Nothobranchius furzeri: one gene and its partners. The protein of the gene in region 2 purifies or fractionates together with the protein of the main gene of each other region. This does not show direct contact. Links are inferred from orthologs where the notes say so. Each region holds a gene or a part of one and is shown on either strand. Other genes may lie near its edges.

The links. The genes of interacting proteins can lie anywhere in the genome.
Region 1: the proteins of hsp90ab1 (region 2) and cdk4 purify together in Homo sapiens (affinity purification with mass spectrometry; 5 studies listed by BioGRID and IntAct, counting the BioPlex papers as one, with this or other methods). This does not show direct contact. The link is inferred for Nothobranchius furzeri from reciprocal best matches to the Homo sapiens genes HSP90AB1 and CDK4.
Region 3: the proteins of hsp90ab1 (region 2) and mcm5 fractionate together in Homo sapiens (co-fractionation; 3 studies listed by BioGRID, with this or other methods). This does not show direct contact. The link is inferred for Nothobranchius furzeri from reciprocal best matches to the Homo sapiens genes HSP90AB1 and MCM5.

Annotation. Positions count from the first base shown.
Region 1 is NC_091743.1:49,228,643-49,235,206, reverse strand, and holds the start of cdk4 (cyclin-dependent kinase 4), read right to left. Parts: upstream 3,624-6,564; 5' UTR 3,413-3,623; intron 1-3,412.
Region 2 is NC_091742.1:8,414,621-8,421,396, reverse strand, and holds the start of hsp90ab1 (heat shock protein HSP 90-beta), read left to right. Parts: upstream 1-2,871; 5' UTR 2,872-3,012; intron 3,013-3,775; coding exon 3,776-3,919; intron 3,920-3,989; coding exon 3,990-4,196; intron 4,197-4,279; coding exon 4,280-4,439; intron 4,440-4,537; coding exon 4,538-4,671; intron 4,672-4,740; coding exon 4,741-5,049; intron 5,050-5,119; coding exon 5,120-5,285; intron 5,286-5,377; coding exon 5,378-5,568; intron 5,569-5,682; coding exon 5,683-5,830; intron 5,831-5,908; coding exon 5,909-6,177; intron 6,178-6,277; coding exon 6,278-6,611; intron 6,612-6,714; coding exon 6,715-6,776. Other genes in the region: rbm25b (RNA-binding protein 25b), read right to left, coding at 197-254, 396-607, 734-812. UniProt on the Homo sapiens protein: Molecular chaperone that promotes the maturation, structural maintenance and proper regulation of specific target proteins involved for instance in cell cycle control and signal transduction. Undergoes a functional cycle linked to its ATPase activity.
Region 3 is NC_091752.1:68,039,761-68,046,541, reverse strand, and holds the start of mcm5 (DNA replication licensing factor MCM5), read right to left. Parts: upstream 3,624-6,781; 5' UTR 3,489-3,623; coding exon 3,316-3,488; intron 2,966-3,315; coding exon 2,839-2,965; intron 2,759-2,838; coding exon 2,630-2,758; intron 2,551-2,629; coding exon 2,378-2,550; intron 2,295-2,377; coding exon 2,139-2,294; intron 2,055-2,138; coding exon 1,885-2,054; intron 1,808-1,884; coding exon 1,636-1,807; intron 1,513-1,635; coding exon 1,401-1,512; intron 1,324-1,400; coding exon 1,180-1,323; intron 1,108-1,179; coding exon 1,042-1,107; intron 969-1,041; coding exon 792-968; intron 715-791; coding exon 602-714; intron 528-601; coding exon 399-527; intron 325-398; coding exon 182-324; intron 109-181; coding exon 1-108. Other genes in the region: gcat (2-amino-3-ketobutyrate coenzyme A ligase, mitochondrial), read right to left, coding at 6,448-6,599, 6,691-6,781. UniProt on the Homo sapiens protein: Acts as a component of the MCM2-7 complex (MCM complex) which is the replicative helicase essential for 'once per cell cycle' DNA replication initiation and elongation in eukaryotic cells.

The DNA.
Region 1 (6,564 bases), on a different chromosome or scaffold from region 2:
CTAAAAGACCCTTTACAAGGTTCATTAAATGTCACTCAGACCCCCACTGCCCCCTCTGGCAAGAATTGACCCTTTGCACCGACGCCACCTAATCACGTGGACGGCAAAAGCATGTAAACAGTGAGCGACACGATTACAAAACAAAGGGAAAAGTAGAGCCTGAAATTGTTTTAGCGATCAAAACAAAAACAAAACTCCTCCAGCATTCCTTCAACTAGTTCAGGCCCAGTTCAGTTATCAGAAGAAGTAGCGCATCTAGCGGGGGCTCATAGAGAGCGGTGTGTTAACAAGCTTACCAACGTTAGCTTACGTTCTCTCTGCAGCTGTTCACCGATGTAAACATGTTGCTGACTTTGCCTAAATTCACCCCTCTGGATTTATAAAATTATGTTATAAACAGCGTTTCACTTTACACCAAAGCTGATTTTTAAAAAGTCCGGATCCCTACCAGCTTCTGTTGCTGGTGGTGTTACCGGGTTCAGCTGCTGCTTTCACACCGGAATGAGAAGATCTCTGAACGCCGACGCTCATATAAATAAATAACGTAATTTTAACACACGTAATCATACATCGGAGCTTTAATATTGTTAATAATCGTCTCGCTTTACACTACAGTGGACGGAGCGCAGCCTCCGTGGTGAAATACCCGTCCATCAGGATTATCAATAACTTGTATAAACACATCACATTTACCCCTGTCCCCGTCTTCCTCGTCAAATAAATGAACGTTAATCTTACCCGGTAAAAACATGTTCGCTGCAAATCTGAGACCTGCTAGTCCGCTTGATTGATCGCTGCAGTTCATCTCCGTCCTCAGTCTCCATCAAAGTTAATAAAAAAACAAAACAAGTTGACTTTACATCCTTGTCTGTTAGTGCAGCCGACCACGCAGCAAGCTAAAACCATTTTACTGTCGAATCAACTAAATAAAAGCTATAAAAGGCTACAAACTGGCTTGTTTTGACTAGCTTCACTGGAGTTTCTACGGGTGTAAACGGTCTTTTTGCCGTCCATCATGGTGAAGGGGGCGGTCACATGAGTGGCGTGACGTCACGTGCACAGGGTCAATACCGCACTTGCAACTTCAGTGTGGTGGGCTGCCACCTGTTGGACTTGTGCCACTTACACACTAGCATCAGCTCCACTCCACTCCGCCCACCCCAGCCTGGCTGTGTTCGTCCCACACTGCCTTGAGAATATAGATGTGATTGAGAACATAGGCGGTCTGGGGCCTGTGATGTCATGAGCGCATCTATAAGCATGTGGGCGGAGCAAAAGAGCGCCAACACCTGAAATTGTAGCGCAACGTCTGTAAAATCAACGTAGCTACTGACAGGAGGGGCTGCTGAGTCTAGGCGCCACCAGTTCCTCCAACCACCACCAGCAGGAGAGGTGGTTTAAGTAAATACACAACAGCAGCATTCTTTCTCTGGCAGGAGAATGGGTTAGGGTGAACTCTGACCCTGAGCAATTGGGCTTTCACATCTTGATAGGCACATCTGGGTAGTCGTTTTCCATGCTCAGCTTTTTTTTTTTGGAGCTTCTCCCCAGTAGTCTATTTCATGGAAAACTGAGCCAACACACCAAATACGACTGATTGGCCAGCTGAAGTTCACACCTACCTATAGAGGGAGCCTCTGATTGGTTGGTAGAATTAGCCAGCAGAGGCTTCCCATATTTGTAAACATCTCTGACTGCTGGTCAGACAGACTGCTGTGAGGAGCACGCAGCAGTATCGGCGTGAGAGTAGGAAACGGTGTGCTTCATATCACTGCTCACGGCTACTTTTGCTTACCAACGTGAGTAAAACACCCACCTGGCCCACGTGCTCTGAGGCATTCGCTCTGAGAAGGCTATGTGAACAAAAACTGGCCATGCAGGGGTGGGCCGACTCTACCGAGACCGGACCAGGCCAGTAGAGCCCTGCAATGAAGCCCTAGGCCCTCAGGTCGGCCCGGTCCGACGGCCCGAGGGCCGGGCTTCGGGCCAACGACTGCGTAATTACCTCGGACACGGGCCGGGCCAGGCGCCTTTATTTTTAATCAAATTCATAAAAAAAATTGAAACACTTGAATGCAGCAGCACCTGCCTGCTTCTCACGCACCGGCACCGTTAGCTCAGTTAAGGTCTGTGTGGTTTATTAATGCGCCTATATAAACGGCTGACTGAAACATGTGCCCCTATTCTAATATGCCATTTTATGTCCACTTTGATATGTCAGAAACCATTTGTTTATTCTCAAGAAAATGACAGCATTCTATTTTTCTGTGAATAAATTCGCTCTGCAGTTAAAAAAATACAGCATTCATTGTTGTTGTTTTTTCTAACTGGCGAGCGCATTTTCAGAGCGGCAGATTAAATTTACAAACACTATATTAATTGGGGGTGTTTATTTAATCTGCCGCTCTGAAAATGCGCTCTGCAGTTAGAAAATTAGAATGCTGCTTTTTTTTCTAATTGCACAAGGGCGCATTTTCAGAGCAGATTAAATTTACAAACGCATCCAATTAATATAGTGTTCGTAAATTTCATCTGCCGCTCAAAAAATACGCTCTGTTAGAAAAAAAAGCTGCATTGAATGCTGTTTTTTTGTTCTTTTCTTTTTATTTATTTATTTTTTTTACTGCAGAATGCTTCTCACAGATAATTAGAATGCTGAGCATTCTATCACGCTAAAACATTATGAAAGGTTAAAAAACAAAATTGGGCTCAGGCCAGAGAATCCTGAAAACCTTTTCGGACCGGGTCGGGCTGGGGCTCCACGGGCCGGACACGGGCTCAGATTTTAGGCCCGTGCAGGGCTCTACAGGCCAGATGTGACGACGCCATACCAGACCAGTGTGTCTTGAAAATGGGCTGCAGTAACCAATTTTGACCATAGGATGTCATTCCTACTTCCTTCTTCCATGTTGCACCTTTAATTTAAACATTTATGTTTCCCCTTCTTTCAATAACATCTGACCAGCTTCAGCCCAGCTGGGAGTTTAATTGAACTGGCAGCATACCGATAACAGCAAATCAGTAATTAAATGATCAACAGAAGCTGACCTCCATTCATTTTTACGGATCTATCAGACCGACCCACGGAGAAGCAGGCCCGTGGGCAGAGTCAGCAGGCCGGTCCAGGCCAGGACAGACACGTGGTGCTACTCCACGACTCTTCTTTGTTGATTAAACTAAAAGAAAAGTGGAGCAACAGCAGGCCGACGGCTAGTTTCTCCTCCTCAGACATGTGCCCCAACGTGGCGGAGGGATAGCTGACAACTACGGCCGCTGGCGGAGGACAAACCACCGACTGCAACTTTTATTTAACGCATCTGTCCAGCCCAAACTCCAGATGTCCAGAGTTAAGGTGACCAACACGACCCAGCTGTAGTTTCCTGTATCCGAGAGTCCAGAAACACGAACCTACCTCGCCCGTTTCTCCTCTCCGTGTTTCAGCGGCAGGTGAGATCACTTCAGCGAGGCATGCTTCTTCTCCTGCCACGTCTCTAACTCGTTCAGAACCGGGTCAGAGGTGGACAGGGCCGGGTCCAGACCCAGACTCTTTGCCCACGGGTGCTTGTGATGTGGGGAAACCAAGTCAGTCGGTTTGATTTCGGCCTCTCGTCGCACTTTTTTTTCCGCCTGTCTTCCTTTTGCTCAGGGGGCGGGGCTACAGCCTAAAGCAGCAACGCAAACTTTAGCGCATCATCTCCTCTAAAGCCTCTGCTGATGTAAAATACCTGTTTCAGCTTCCAAGAAGCAGTCATCTTTACTTTAAACGTTTCCAACATTTAACTTTGTTACACATCATCAAAGGAAGAGTGGGGAAACTGTAAATGTGGTTTCACCAGACTTAAAGTTACATTAAAACAAACAAACAAATGTGTCTAAAACCTTTTTTCATGCCTCTTAACAAGTTCTGATATGTTAAAGAAATAAAGAAACTGTGGAGATGAAATAAATAAATAAAGTGGTTCTTTCACATTTGTCTAAAAACCTCAGCAAATAACACATTTAGGACCAGAAGCAACTATTGAACCATCAGTTGTTGGTCTCCAAACCGCTGAACTCCTGCACGACCATGGGGCCTCTATTCGTTACGCACTCGCATATTTGGCAACAGAACACCGCTGGTGTGAGAGGTTCGCGGCTCAGTAGTATCAGAGGAGGAGAAACGGCCGGCTGCTACCACTTCAACTTTTGGACAAACTGCCAGAGCCTAAAAAAAACCCTCCATTTTATGTCACAGACAAAAGCTGTTTGGACCTAGAAAACGGTTACTGGTGTTTGGCCATGTCTCGTTTCGTGCGGCATTAACATGTGCAGCTTTTGGTCGGTTGTAATGCCGTGTTAAAAGCGCTCTATAATTAAAGTGGTATGGTATCGCAGGTTGCGTCTCAGGGAAGATACCCGAGGGAAGGGGTGAGTGTTCTGTGACTGTGTTTGGGTTCGAAACCTAGCATGTTTGCAGATTTATTATAACAGCTTAATGGTTTAAGTATGTTTAGGTGTGTTTTTAAATTCTAAAGTTAGTGGTGTCCCGTGAGGAAATTCAAGGGTGAAGGAATCAAGATCAGCATCTGAGCACTATAGTTTAGGTCAGTGTTTATAAATAGTTTATTCTTAGTTAGATTTGGGTCGCTGGGATTGAAGAGAGGTCCAAATTATCCTCTGTCCAGCTATTTCCACTGGTGGGATCCTTACTAGGGTTGCACCAATACTTTTTCCCAAACAGATACGATACCGATTCTTGGATCTGAGTACTCGCCTACACCGATACTTCTACCACACAATAAAATGCAATGAATTGGAATACAGGTTTTATTTTCTTTTCTTTCAACAGGAAAAGTGTGTGAGGTAGATTAAAAAATAAAATATATTAATGGAAATGATCACAAAACTAAAATATTAGGTGAACAGAAATGACAAGTTACAGTGAAGCCACTTTCAGGCAACTGCATTGGCATTGATTCCTGGTATCGATAACGGTATTGGCGCATCCCTAATCCATACCATACTAGCTTTATTTCCATAGCACATTTAAAAACAGCATGACAGCTGACCAAAGCACTTTACAGATACACTGCAAAATACACCAAAATGATAAAACGGACAAGGGATGAGAAATTACAATTTACTTAGTTAACCTGGGAACCTTCTGTCAGTATCACATTCCTGGAATTCCTCGCCTGTGACGTTGTAGGAGGCATTCTGATGAAATGCCCAGACCACCTCAGCTCGTTCCTCTCTGTGGAGGAGCCGTGGCTCTACTCAGTTGTCTGAGCTCGGCATCATATCTCAAGGCTGAGATCAGCCACCCTACAGATGAAAGTCATTTCAGTTGCTTGCATTCATGGTCTTGGTCTTTTGGTCATTACCCAAAGCTCATGACCATGAGTGATGAATGGGATTAAGAATGGCTTATAAGAGCTTTGGTTTCTGGCTGAGCTCATTGGTCAGCCACTCCCCGTTACAGAGCCATCACCAGCACCTTCATCACCCCCCCCCCCCCCCCCCCCCACTCACGAGGTGTTCACATCACACACCTCCACCACAAATCTACTCGTTCATGAAGCAGATGTAAAGAAGCAGTTCAGGTCTCTTAACACACGAAAAGCCCCGGGCCCTGATGGCGTGGCTCCTGCCACTCTAAAGCACTGTGCTGAAGAGCTGGCCCCAGTGTTTACGAGCATCTTCAACTCCTTACTGGAGGAATCTCATGTGCCTGCCTGCTTCAAGATCTCCACCATAGTCCCTGTCCCCAAGAAACCAAGAATCACTGGACTAAAGGACTGCATCTGTGGTCATGAAGTCATTTCAATTCAATTCAAAAATACTTTATTAATCCCAGAGGGAAATTGATTTGATTTGAGCACCTAGTTCTCCCCCACCTCAAGACCCTCACAGCCCCCCTCCTGGACCCCCTGCAGTTTGCATACAGACCAAACAGGTCTGTAGATGATGCAATCAACATGGCTCTACAATTCATCCTGCAGCATCTGGACTCCCCAGGTACCTACGCCAGGATATTGTTCGTGGACTTCAGCTCTGCACTCAACACAATCCTGCCAGACCTCCTCCAAGACAAAATGTCCCAGATGAACGTGCCTGACCCCATCTGCATGTGGATCACTGACTTCCTGACAGACAGGAAACAACAAGTCAGGCTGGGGAAGAATGTCTCGGACCAACGGACCATCAGCACCGGCTCACCACAGGGCTGTGTTCTTTCCCCTCTGCTCTTCTCCCTGTACACCAACAGCTGCACCTCCAAGCATGAGTCTGTCAAACTAATTAAGTTTGCTGACGACACCACCGTCATCGGACTCATCTCTAATGGGGATGAGTCCGCTTACAGAATGGAGGCTGAACGGCTGGTGTACTGGTGCAGCCACAACAACCTGGTGCTAAACACCCAGAAGACAGCGGAGGTTGTTGTGGACTTTAGGAAACACACACACCCCATCCCCCCCTTAAACCTGTCTGACACTCCCATCACGATGGTGGACTCATGTCGCTTCCTGGGCACCACCATCACCCAGGACCTCAAATGGGAACCCACCATCACCAACATCAGAA
Region 2 (6,776 bases):
GCCGATACCGATATTGATGCTGATATATTGTCCATCCCTAATTTCTTTGTTATTCACAAATGTGTGGTTTTTATTTGTTTAGTAAGAAGTTGCATTTCACACCTCTGGACCACATTGTTTTGTTTTCTTTAAGTGATCGCGAAAGTTAGCAATGAGAGTAAGCTACTGAAAGTTGCTGTGCAGAACTGTAAATCACCTTGAAGTTTGCCAGAGGCTCCTTGGACTCTCTTCCAGCTCAAAACAATACCACATTTCTGTAAACGTAGGACAATTACTAAAATAACATAATAAACACACACACACCATTAACAGTTAACAAAAATTATGCAAGCAGCATTTCTATATATGGATATTCAAAAGGTATGTGTAGTTTACACATATTTTCTAATTCTTACCGCCAGCAACTGTCTGATGAGCATGTCTGAAGCTTTCTCTGAAATGTTCCCCACAAACACGGTGGTGATAGGTCCACTGCTCTCTTCATCTTTGGCTCGCAGAGCAGAATAGTCTTTCTTTGGCATGGGAGGCTTACTGAGGACTGGAACAGACTGGACCATGACTGCAGGGGTGGGGGCCATGATGCCCATGTGGACAGGGATCATAGGAGCTGCAGCACATGCAACAAAAAAAAGTTGTTAAGACTGTGAATATGAAATTAATTAAATTATTACAAATAATGAGCATCTAAGAGGTGTCATGTTGCGTAATTTACGGGAGCCTGGTTGGTACTTACCTGTGGGGAAGCCAGCATACTGAGGAGGAATCCCAGGTGGGGGCAACAGCGGTCGATTTAAATGAGGAGGGAAGGACATTTTGAGGGTGAATGTGGCCTAAAGAAGACACATTAAAGGCCATTAGTGTTGTTTGCATAAGGTAAAAACGTCCAAACAGCTCAAGTAAAAACACAGAGGGAGCGAACATTAGTGTATCCACAATGAGGAAACACTGAAGGTCTCGGTGGTGAACATTACAAATCGATAGTGACTTTTATTTGACTTTGCTGGAACGTTAACTAAACTTAGCCAAACTTTGTGAGGTGCCATTCGCTAATTAGAAGTAACAAAGTCCAAACTTCTTAAAAATATTAACATCTCAACAATATTAAGACTAACCACACACAACAGCTAAGTACGCTAAAGCTAGCAATGAGCACGTTACCCGATATAACACCGGCACAGCTAAAATGCTAAAGTAACCTAGCCCGAGCAGATGTTAATTTATAATAAAACACTGACTTTCCCAAGGCTAAACATGAGCTCGAAGTAAATATAAAAGCCTCTACATATACCTACCACTCAACCAGGTGGCGTATGATGAGATAAAATCCACTAAAAATGTTAATGATAGTGAATTAATAGCTAACGTTCTGGACGCCTGATTAGCACGCTAGCTGGTCGCGGGCCCTCGAAAAGTTTGACGCACGCGCTTTAGGAGCAAGAGTACTGGCGCGCTTGTTTTGTGCACCAGAGTGTATACACTGAACGGGGCTTAATGTGAATTCGCAAAATGAACCCTTTTCAGGAAACGAAACTTCTGCTAACAGGGTTCGATCAGATTACCTAACTAACCTTGGAAGACCTAATGCGCGGTAGTAACTAAATGAATAAAAAAGGTTGAATAATAATAGCATTGAAATTAAGTTACACCAAAAAAGCGGTCCGCATTTTTTTTATTAAAACGATTTGTTTCTAATCGGTTTAATTTACAAAACATCTGATCACATAAAAAAACAGCATTGTGATTTTCCTACTCGTTTTAATCAATTAGAGGATAAAGCCATCATATGATTATTTCAATGTTAAACTTCTTTTTAAATGTTTTTTAAAAGAGTACATAAAAATTCTGTGTACATTATTGTTAAAATGGTCATTCTTACCAATTCTGAAATTGTAACTAATAAATAACATATTCTGTATGCAAAGTATGACTGTACTTCTGTTATTTATCACTGAGGTTACTATCTAAATTTATAAATGTGTCTTCTGTAGTTAAACTACATAATAGAAAGCTGAATCATAATCATTTGTGCATCTCTTGCATTTGATGGGTCTAACTGCGTACATTTATTCCACTCTAATCCACTTGACAACAGTGACTTCTTCCCCTTACACTGTACTAAAAACTCAATTCCAAAGTCGTGATCAACATGACAAATATAGTATTACATTTATGTATAGCAGTCCATCTTCCACTGGTGTTCTATGTCCATAAGAAAATCTGTAATTCATATAATAACAACCATTAGTTCATTTGACAATATAAAGCATATATTCTCATGATTCAGTACGGAAAAGGGTTGAGTTGATGGTTGTTAAGGCGTTTTTGCTGTAGGAACATTTTGTGACAGATGATACGTCGGGAGAGGAAAGGGGGAGATCTGTGACGTCACTTTAAGGCGGGGCTTTCATGGAAAGTGCTAGAAGCAGGCTAGAAGAAACGAAGCACACCTTCTCGTGTTTGAAATATTCATCCGTCGGAGTAAAAAGACCCACAGTCTATGTCGAATTTCAGGGAAACTAGACGCCACTTGAGATTTGAACTTGACGCGTGGTTTTAGTGTTATGCGAATCATTTCTCTATGTTGTCGCTAGATGGGATGATTGAGATCAAAAAACATCGCCTCTCAGTGCATGGTTTGCTGTAGCTCAACCTACCACAAGATGGCGACAACGTTACACTAAGGTCCGACTTCGTATACATTTTCTTTACTTAGATTGCATAATTGGCATTTAAACCCTTTTTACCCAACAAAACGTGAATAATAGATTATTCTTTTCCAGTGAGGAAGCATACAATGTGTGTTTAGTTCTGGCTGCGGTTTTACATAAAAGTGATTGCTTCAGGTTGTAGCTCGTGAACTGCGGATGGATACGACTGCACACTGCGACCCACGTGTATAAAGACTGGTCTGGTGCCGAAAAGTAGTTCCTTTCCTTTTTCTTCAGTCAGGGAGCGCAAGGGACTACACTTTTGCTGCATTTTATTCAAGAAAAAGTCAACGAAATTACCAAGGTGCGTACATTAACGGGTCCGTAGCTCGTGTCAGACATCCTTACCTTTATAAGTTTGTTAAAATATCATCGGTATGTATGTGTTTAACGAACATTATTAGTTAATGAAAATCCAGAGGTTAATATGGTGGTCGAATAAGTGTTTCGTGGAAGACAGACGCCTAGTACGTCGGCTGATGTTTTCATTTTCCTCTCGAGAGACTACTATTTGCTTATGTTTCCGAGCATCGTAGTGATGCTCTTGAGCAGCGGGAATGCGGCACCGTGATGTCAGGCAGGTGTGGTGACGGTGACTCCGCTGGATCGAGTTCTCGGCCTGATTAAATCCGTTATAAACCCACGTTAAACCGGTACACTGAGTTTAATGTGTGCGTAATAAGGCCTGGTTACCAGCCACGAGGGGTAGTGTTCATTTGGTCGTTACGTAATTGAACGCGGTTTCAATTAACCTCCACGTTTTACTGAAACTATCACATGGAGGCTAAAACAAGTACGTTTGTAGTATTTATGGAAGTCGTCGTCGCATTGTTTATCTATTAAAGTGACTTGAGTTGATCCGCCTTAATCGTTCGCCAGCACGTGTTTGCTGCGTCCATTGTCTAGTAGAAGCCATGTTTGTTAACTGACACTTCCGCCCTTATGTAGCAGACTGCTGCAGCGGCCATCCAACTTAATGAAGCCACTTGACGAAATCGCGTTACTTTGAAACTATCTTAAGTTCTGTTTCACTTTCATTTACTGAAGTGACTTTGTTATATTTTCAGATGCCTGAAGAAATGCACCAAGAGGAGGAGGTTGAGACCTTTGCCTTCCAGGCAGAGATCGCTCAGCTGATGTCCCTGATCATCAACACCTTCTACTCCAACAAAGAGATCTTCCTTAGGGAGTTGATCTCAAACGCTTCTGATGTGAGTCTGCTGAAGCTTCAGTATTCTTCTGACTTTAAGGAAGAAACTAACCGCTATTCCCTGTTTTCAGGCTCTGGACAAAATCCGCTATGAAAGCTTGACTGACCCCTCAAAACTGGACACTGGCAAAGATCTGAAAATTGACATCATTCCCAACAAAGCTGACCGGACTTTGACCCTGATTGACACCGGGATTGGCATGACCAAAGCTGACCTTATTAACAACCTGGGCACCATCGCCAAGTCGGGCACAAAGGCCTTCATGGAGGCCCTCCAGGTACTACGCATCCCATAATGGCCTGCACAGGATCTTAAGAGACTGACTGATCTTGTGAAGCTAAATTTGTTTTATTCCTCCAGGCTGGTGCTGACATCTCAATGATTGGTCAGTTCGGTGTGGGTTTTTACTCTGCTTATCTTGTTGCTGAGAAAGTGGTCGTCATCACCAAACACAATGATGATGAGCAGTACGCCTGGGAGTCATCTGCTGGAGGTTCCTTCACAGTCAAGGTTGACAGCGGTGTGTAATTCTAACCATCACCAGTGACGTCTGAGTGTGCACTACTTGCTTACTCTAGTTTATTTTAGCTTTTCTGAAAATTCCTCAAATGTTTTCAGGCGAGCCCATTGGCCGTGGAACTAAGATCATTCTGCACCTGAAGGAGGACCAGACAGAGTATGTGGAGGACAAGAGGGTCAAGGAGATCGTTAAGAAGCACTCTCAATTCATTGGCTACCCCATCACCTTGTTTGTAAGTGCTTAAAAGTACGTTTTAAAAATTTTAAGTCTTGGGCAGATTTCTAAAGCTTTTATGTCGCAGGTGGAGAAGGAGCGCGACAAGGAGATTAGTGACGACGAGGCAGAGGAGGAAAAGACCGAGAAAGAGGAGAAAGAAGAAGAAGCTGAAGACAAGCCCAAGATTGAAGATGTGGGTTCAGATGATGAGGAGGATTCCAAAGACAAGGACAAGAAGAAGAAGAAAAAGATCAAGGAGAAGTACATTGATCAGGAGGAGCTGAACAAGACCAAGCCCATCTGGACCAGGAACCCCGATGACATCACAAATGAAGAATATGGTGAATTCTACAAGAGTCTAACAAATGACTGGGAGGATCACCTGGCTGTCAAGGTACACGAGTTTCCGACAAAGTTTTAACCCTGCGGGCTGATTTTTTTTCTAATGCTTTATTTTCTTTCAGCACTTCTCTGTGGAAGGCCAGCTGGAGTTCAGAGCCCTGCTCTTTATTCCTCGCCGTGCACCCTTTGACCTCTTCGAGAACAAGAAAAAGAAGAACAACATCAAGCTGTACGTCAGGCGGGTCTTCATCATGGACAACTGTGAGGAGCTCATTCCTGAGTATCTGAGTAAGTTCAGCTGCATTTTCCACTGTGGTCTGAAATGATTCCACAGACTCTTTAAATGGCTAATGCATTTAAAATTACTTTGTCCACTCAAGACTTCATCCGTGGTGTTGTGGACTCTGAGGACCTGCCCCTCAACATCTCCAGAGAAATGCTGCAGCAAAGCAAGATCCTGAAGGTTATTCGCAAAAACATAGTCAAGAAGTGCTTGGAGCTGTTTGCAGAACTGTCGGAGGACAAAGACAACTACAAGAAATTCTACGAGGCTTTCTCAAAGAACATGAAGGTATTGAAACTAAATGGTGGATTCATCTGAATTGGCTTGGTGTGTTTTATAAACTGAGGGACGCATTGCTGTATTTTGCATTTAAAGATCATGTTTGGTTGCTTTTTTCCTCAGCTGGGCATACATGAGGACTCTCAGAACCGCAAGAAGCTGTCTGAGCTTTTGCGCTACCACAGCTCCCAGTCTGGTGATGAGATGACCTCCTTGACTGAGTACCTCACCCGCATGAAGGAAAACCAGAAGTCGATCTACTACATTACTGGTACTAACACACACTATCTGGAAACCACACCTCCCCGTAGACTTGTTCATCCTTGCTGAGGATCTGGTTTCTCTGCAGGTGAGAGCAAAGATCAGGTGGCCAACTCCGCCTTCGTCGAGCGTGTCCGCAAACGTGGCTTTGAGGTGCTGTACATGACAGAGCCCATTGATGAGTACTGCGTCCAGCAGCTGAAGGAGTTCGATGGCAAGACCCTGGTCTCTGTCACCAAGGAGGGTCTAGAGCTGCCTGAAGATGAGGATGAGAAGAAAAAGATGGAGGAGGACAAAGCCAAATATGAGAACCTCTGCAAGCTCATGAAGGAGATCCTCGACAAAAAAGTGGAGAAGGTGTGTGTTTTGGGTTTCCTTTCCCTGTAGGCTTAAGTTTTCATGAAGGGTTTCCTTGTGGTCCAACATGGTGTAAACCTTTGTGCTTAATTTCCTCCAGGTGACTGTGTCCAACAGGCTGGTGTCTTCCCCTTGCTGCATTGTGACAAGCACGTATGGCTGGACGGCAAACATGGAGAGGATCATGAAGGCCCAGGCACTCAGGGACAACTCCACCATGGGTTACATGATGGCCAAGAAGCACTTGGAAATCAACCCTGACCATCCAATCATGGAGACTCTGAGGCAGAAGGCTGAGGCTGACAAGAACGACAAAGCAGTGAAAGACCTTGTTGTCCTGCTCTTTGAGACGGCCCTGCTTTCTTCAGGCTTCTCTCTCGATGATCCACAGACTCATTCCAACCGTATCTACAGGATGATCAAACTTGGCCTTGGTAGGAACTCATCAGATTAGCTGTTGGTGGGTTTTTATTTCTCTCCTTTCTAATGTGTGCTTATGGGGTTTTTTTTTTTTTTTTTTTTTTTTTTTTTTTTTAGGTATTGATGATGATGACATTCCAACAGAAGAGACCACCACCACCACATCTGTTCCAGAAGAG
Region 3 (6,781 bases), on a different chromosome or scaffold from region 2:
TGATGCTGTGCTCCGACACCTGGGAGCCGATGGCGAAGCGCCTCTTCAGCTGCTTCTCGACGCGGGAGAGCATTTCCTGGTCCTCCTGAGAGGTGAAGCCCTCCACTCCTGAGAACAGAGGGGCGTTAGCGTCAGGAAACGGGACAGGCGAGCCCCGCTCTGAAACGTGGCCGTCACACACCTGAGAGGCTGCCCGACAGAGCGGCGTCCAGCGTGGAGACCTGGAAGAGCCTGAGGGCCTCGTCCACCTCCTCTTCTCCAGCCACGGCCTGCAGCTTCATCTTAGCCAACGACTCGGCGATACGAACGACCGCCTCCAGCTGCCTGAAGACACAAGACACTCGTGACAACCCTCTCCCGGGTGCGACGACTCGCTCGGACGCAGGCGCCGCCGGTACCTGACGGTGATGGGGATGGAGGGCCGCTTGTGGCTCTCGCGTTCGTGCTCCCGCGCGCCGCTCCTCATCACCACGTATCTGTTCTTCAGCTTCTCAGCGGCAGCCGCGGAAAGCCGAGGGCCACACTTCCTGCAAGCACACACTCAGTCTGAGAACGGACTCGCGACTGTGGACGACAGACCAAACGCCCGAGGCCGACTCACGCTCTGGCGTAGGCGATGTATTTCTTAAACGTAGCCAGAGGAACCTCGCCCTCCACACCTTCGGTCTGCGTCTGAGCACTCAGGTGGACGTTCATCACGTGGCGAGCCAGCGTCTGGGGAACAAGCAGACGGTGAGGTTACACTCCGGAGGAAGGGGGCGCCGACGCGTTCGAGGCTCCAGCCTCCTCACCATGTCCCTCTGCTGGTCGTGCTGGTCCTTGATGATGAAGATCATGTCGAAACGAGACAAGATGGTGGGCATGAAGTCAATGTTGTCCTCCCCCTTCGTGTCGTCCCAGCGACCAAACACGGAGTTGGCGGCGGCCAGCACGGAGCAGCGGGAGTTCAGGGTGGTGGTGATGCCCGCCTGGAGGAAGCGAGGACGTCAGGATACCACGGCAACCGTCTCACATCCAAGATGGCGCATCAGCTGTACGTACCTTAGCGATGGAGATGGTCTGCTGCTCCATGGCTTCGTGGATAGCCACGCGGTCATCCTCCCTCATCTGAGAAACAGAAACCGCTCAGATTTAGACTCCGAACCGGGTCTAACGCTGACGCTCGGGCGTCGGTCCTACCTTATCGAACTCATCGATGCACACGACTCCTCCGTCGGCCAGCACCATGGCCCCTCCCTCCATGATGAACCCACGAGTGCTAGGGTCTCGAAGCACCGAGGCGGTCAGGCCGGCTGCGCTGCTGCCCTTCCCGGAGGTGTAGACCTGAAGGTCACAGACACACCGCTGAGCTTCTCCTCATGCTGGCGTCAGAGCAGCAGCTCCGGGAAAGCTTCTCTTACCCCGATAGGCGAGCACCTCTCCACAAACTTCAGCAGCTGAGACTTGGCCGTACCGGGATCTCCGAGCATCAGAAGGTTGATGTCGCCTCTGCGAGTGAGACCGTCGGGCAGCCTGGAGGAAGAAAATCAAAAAGGTTACCTATTAAAGTCAGATAAGAAACATTTCTGCAGATTAAATATCCACAAAATTCCCTAAGGGGGGGGGGGGGGGAATGGGGCGAGGTGGCGGTTTCACCTCTTCCTCGAGCCTCCGAACAGCAGACAGGTGATGGCCTTCTTCAGATCGTCGCTGCCGTAGATGGAGGGAGCTAAAGACTGAGCCAGAGAGTTGTAGATGCTCGGAGAAGCAGCAAGAGCTCTCAGCTCCTCCTCCTCCTGAGGAGACACGGACCCGGTGGCACCACGACCTGGACGGGATGAAGAAGGGGAACGTTTCTCCGGGTGGACTAGAGGCCAGCCTCGTGAAGCAGACGTAAAGCGGTACCTGCTCCTTCTGTGTCCACCTGGATGCCGACCACTCGTAAGTAGGACGCGCGGATCCCGACGCCGATGCCCTTCTCCTTGCCCTTTGCTTTGGCAGCAGCCATCTTTTTGATGGAGTAGATCCCCAGGATGGTAACCCTGTTGCCAGGCACCACGCGGTCACACATATACCTGAGAGAAGAGAAGACACCTGAGTGAGCAGAACACACCGCCCCGGCTCAAACACCCACGCCACGCCACGCCGCCCCTCCTTACCGGTCACAGTACAGCTGCAGGTGCCGGGGGATTTCTCCGTGTGGCACGGCATCCGGAGACTCCTGCAGACGGAGCGTCTGGAAGTCCACGCAAACGCAGCGGTCCGGAATGATGAAGTACGGGTCCACGGGGCACTTTGCTCTCCCAGGAGCGTCACTGAGAACAAAAGGGGTGCGTTAGCTTCCTCGCTGATGGCCGAAAGCCCGGGGGAAAGCGCGGCTCCTCTGGGTTACGCCCACCTGGTGCACTTGCGGGGCAGAGCATAACCCTGCAGGCCCGGCGGCAGCGCGATGTTTTTGATGGTGTTCCTGCAGCCGCGACACTGGAGGCACACCTTGGTGGCCTTTGCTTTCACCGCCGTGGCTGAGATGATGATCCCGTGCACCTTCACCAGACGAGACACCTGCTCCGACTGTACGAGAAGAAAAGTAGTGTAATCCAGTCCTGCGCGACGACTACAAGGCTCTTAAACAACACGGGTCAGCAGGTACCTTCAGGGTGCGAATGTAAGCATGGTGGGCGTCGCTCTTGAGCATGACCTGGATGTCCTGCACCTCCTCCTCTCCTACAGGTCGAGGACGGGTCACTTCATCCGCCACCTCCTTGGCAGCTTCCTCCAGCTGTTAAATGAAAATCTGTTAGAGGATGTCGCTGGAAAGGTTCGCCTGACAGTTGGGTCTGGCTCCAGCAGAAGACTCACCAAGGGCAGGTTCTCCGCAGGAACCTTGTAAAGGCAGTCAGACAAGTCTTCATCAAAGCTGGCCAGGTCCTCCATCTCCACCTCCACCCAGAACTCTCCCAGGGTGTAGTGTCTCTTCAGCTCATCTCTGATGGGAAGGACGGACAGATGTTACAATCCGGACAGACTACCAAAATAAAAGCAGGGTGAAGAGAGCCCATTCTTGTGTGTGTGTGTGTGTGTGTGTGTGTGTGTGTGTGTGGCGTGGCACGGGGAGGGGGGGTCGCGGTAGCTCTCCCTTAAAGATGGCGGAACACACTCACAAAAAAGCCTCATTTCACCCTGAAACCTTAGATCTCCTCACCCAGCTCTTATTTTGGTAGGTACCTTCCGGATAAAGACTTCTTTTATTTTAACATTTTGTGTCGTTTCACTTCGAACATTTACCTCCTTATTAAAACCAGTTCTTTGGTGGCTGTGGCCGTCTGTGTTGCTCACCTGTATTTGTAGGTGAAGCCGGTGCGGTCCGTTCCCACCCGGAACTGCCGGAGGAACTCTCGGAACCGCTTCTTGATCTGAGCCCGCTTCTGCCCGCCGTCGTCCCCGCCGGGCGCGTCTCCTCCTCCGAAGCTGTCGCTGTAATAAACTCCGGGAATGTCGAAGCCAGACATCCTGCTGCAGCTCACTAAACTAAAACTCGGAGCTGGGACACGACTTTATTCTCAGACAGAGCGATCCCAGAGAGCGGCACTAACAGGAACAATGCGCCAGAGCGAAGTCCTTTCGCGGGAAAAAACGATCTGCTTCCTGTCTGTTTCCCGCGAGCCGCTTGTTTCGCTACACGCCTCTTCTGTTCTCTGATTGGCTGAATTAAATCCGGCTTCTTTCTATTGGTCACAGAGGGTTCCAAAAGGCGTGACGTTACGGGGGAAGGTGGAGCTTAGCGCTGTTGTGGCGCGAAAAACACAAAGGGGGAGGGGCGGGAGCGTCGTGCTGCCCAGCTCAACATGCAGAGGAGCCATGAGAACATCTAGCTCGTTTTCGCAAACGTTTCAGCTGTTTTGTCTTCAAAGATCAGACTTTAACATTTATTAGAAACATATTTCAACCTTTTTCATGCAAAACTCCAGTCTGGGTGCTTCAGGCTCACACGGCTTTGGAAGAGTTTGAGACTTCCCATCATTCTGGTTTGTGGGTCTGGACTCTGGACACCATTCTGTTGTAGATCAGCTGTGTTTGGGATTTGGTCCCTTTTCATGATCAACTTTACTCCAACGCGTTAAAAGAGTGCAACACTGAAAAAGCCTTCTTTTATTTTTATTTCTACTTATGATCAATCAGCCACTCGTGTTTCTCGCAGGCTGAACACGAGAATAATCTCCTACACCAATCTCCGGCTGCTTTAGCTTCTGATAGAAAACAGACGGTGAAACTCTGGGATTAGAAAATCCTGACAGATCTACGTCACCCTGTCACTAACATTCATGGACTCACCCATCTTGACTCACGACGGGGGAGGCTGTTGTTTAACGTCCAGGAAACCGCAGAGAATGTAGCTAACCATTAGCATTAGCAGCAGCACCACACAGCAGAAGCTCCTCAAGACTTGTGTTATTAGTGGATAAAACATTGTTGCAAGTCAATGGTAGAGTCGCGTTGCTGTCATCCAATCTGGGGCGAGATGTCCAAATAGCTCAGCTGTAACGTGGGCAACTTTTAGGTCAGATAAATAGTGCATCGGTATATTTTTCACCCCCGAGAACAACTTACAAGACATTTGTTCCTACTAGAACAACTCCCTTAACCCTCTGGAGGCAGGCGTCTGCAACAGTTAAAGCCTACCTACCTGGTTACTCCACATAAGTATTTCATGAGCACTTTTGAACTCAGAAGTACCCCTGAAGGACTTAGTTGTTCGTCCTTTTATCAAAACTTATTTTGAGCCTGAGAGGGTTAAACATCAGAGACATAAACTCACTTTTCAACCATTAAAAAAAGATGAGTAGACTCAATGAGTGCAAGAAGCCCAAACCATCAACCCTCCACCACCGCAGGTATGATCCTGTTTGGTATTTTCATGAACTTGCATTGAAACTAGACACATTATTCCCATCAAGTGACTCCTGTGTGCAGGTGCTGCCATGTTGTATTTTGGTTTGTGCACTTGGGACAAGCTCTAAGTCACTTGTGCACAATCATCCATCCACTTAATCCTCACTAGGACGACATGGAGCTGGTGCCCATCTCCAGCTGCAGGCATTGGGTGAGAGGAAAGGACCCTGGACATGTCCCCAGTCCATCACAGACCTTTGTTTCTTCTTAATTATAAATCTCAGTAAGACAAACACAGCCTCGAGTTTTCTTCTTAATTTAATACTTTACGGACTTTTGAAGTTTTATGCTCGCGATTGCCCCCTCAGGCCAAAAGCGTAACAGCAGCTTCAATAGTAGGCTCGTGCACGAGGAGCGCATGCTGTACGTGCACACTCCTTAACGAAAACAACAGCTGAGACAGTCCCTTGTGTGTGTGTGTGTGTGTGTGTGTGTGTGGGTGGCCTGGAGGACAGAGGACAAGAGAACGTGCAGCTAATTCATTAAATAATTTGGTTCTGTACCTTTCTCTTCAGCACAGCCGACAAAGGTTTATGATGGGTCAGTCCTCCTGCATGCTCAGATCATTCCCTTCCCTTACTTGAAAAATTGTTCCAAAATGAAAGTTGAACCCACATCTTTTTTATCTGTGAATTCAATGCCGTTCGGCGAGTCTCCAATAAAAATTTGGGCATCTTACTGTAAAAAAATATACCATTAATGTAAAAAATAAACTCTAAATAAACTATGTTCACACCTAGAATCGAACACAGGTGTTCTGCATGCGAGTCCGTCGTCTCACAAGGTGAGCTACACTCTAGTAACATTCACAGTATCTGTAACATTTATATCCTTGATGACAGCTGAAACAACGTTCAAAGAACGGTTCGGAGCGAAAATGGCTATTTTGTTGCTAATTTGCAGGAAATATCTAGAAGAAAGTTCTACAGAAAGTAGCTAAGGGTCCTCAGAAATGTAGCTAGCTTTGTCACTAGGCGTTAGGAACAGCGACAAAGTGGCACTGTCTCTCTCTCTGCTGCTAAAGCTACTGATAGCAAACGCTACGGGCGATGCCTGAGCGTGAATGAAGCAGCCTGCTCGACCCGAGCATCTCTCTTTTTCTGTGATTTTACAGAAAAACAGGCAATCACAGTAAAAATGCCAGGGCTCATTCTACAGGACCAGGGCATTGCAGGAGAATGTATGAAGAAGACATTTATTATTTCTATACATGTTTTGACTGTCAAACTTCCATAATGCACCTTTAATGTTTTCCACAAGTTCTCATCATACAACATTAGTTCCAGCACCACTAAACTTTTTAATATAGCAATCTTTAAAAATCACATTTGTGGATAAAAGAGAAAAGCTTTCTCGTGCTAAGACGTAGTGTAGGCTATTCATTATTAGCCCTCTTTTAAACCCCAAATACAAACATTTATCAACAGCACTTATTTAAAAAATGCTCAAATGTAACGAATGTTTCCTTCTACATCATCCGTGTGGAGTAACAGGCGCTGCGGTTGAATTAAACTTCTTTTAGGAGATGACTCCATGTTTTCTTCCCGTCTGAATGAAAGCGTCCACACATCGGTCGATGTCTTCGTCGGTGTGCGCGGCCGAAATCTGAACGCGGATTCGGGCTTTGCCCTTTGGCACCACTGGGTAGGAGAATCCAATCACGTAGATTCCTGTGAACAGGATAAACGAACCATCAGACTGAGGCGGTCATGGGAATGTGAACCTGATCCTGATGCAGTTTGTTGGGAAGTGGAGTCTCACCGAGCTTCAGCATATCGTCGGCCATCGTGGAGGCCAGCCGGGCGTCGCCGAGCATCACGGGACAGATGGGGTGAGCTGAGCCAGCGATGGT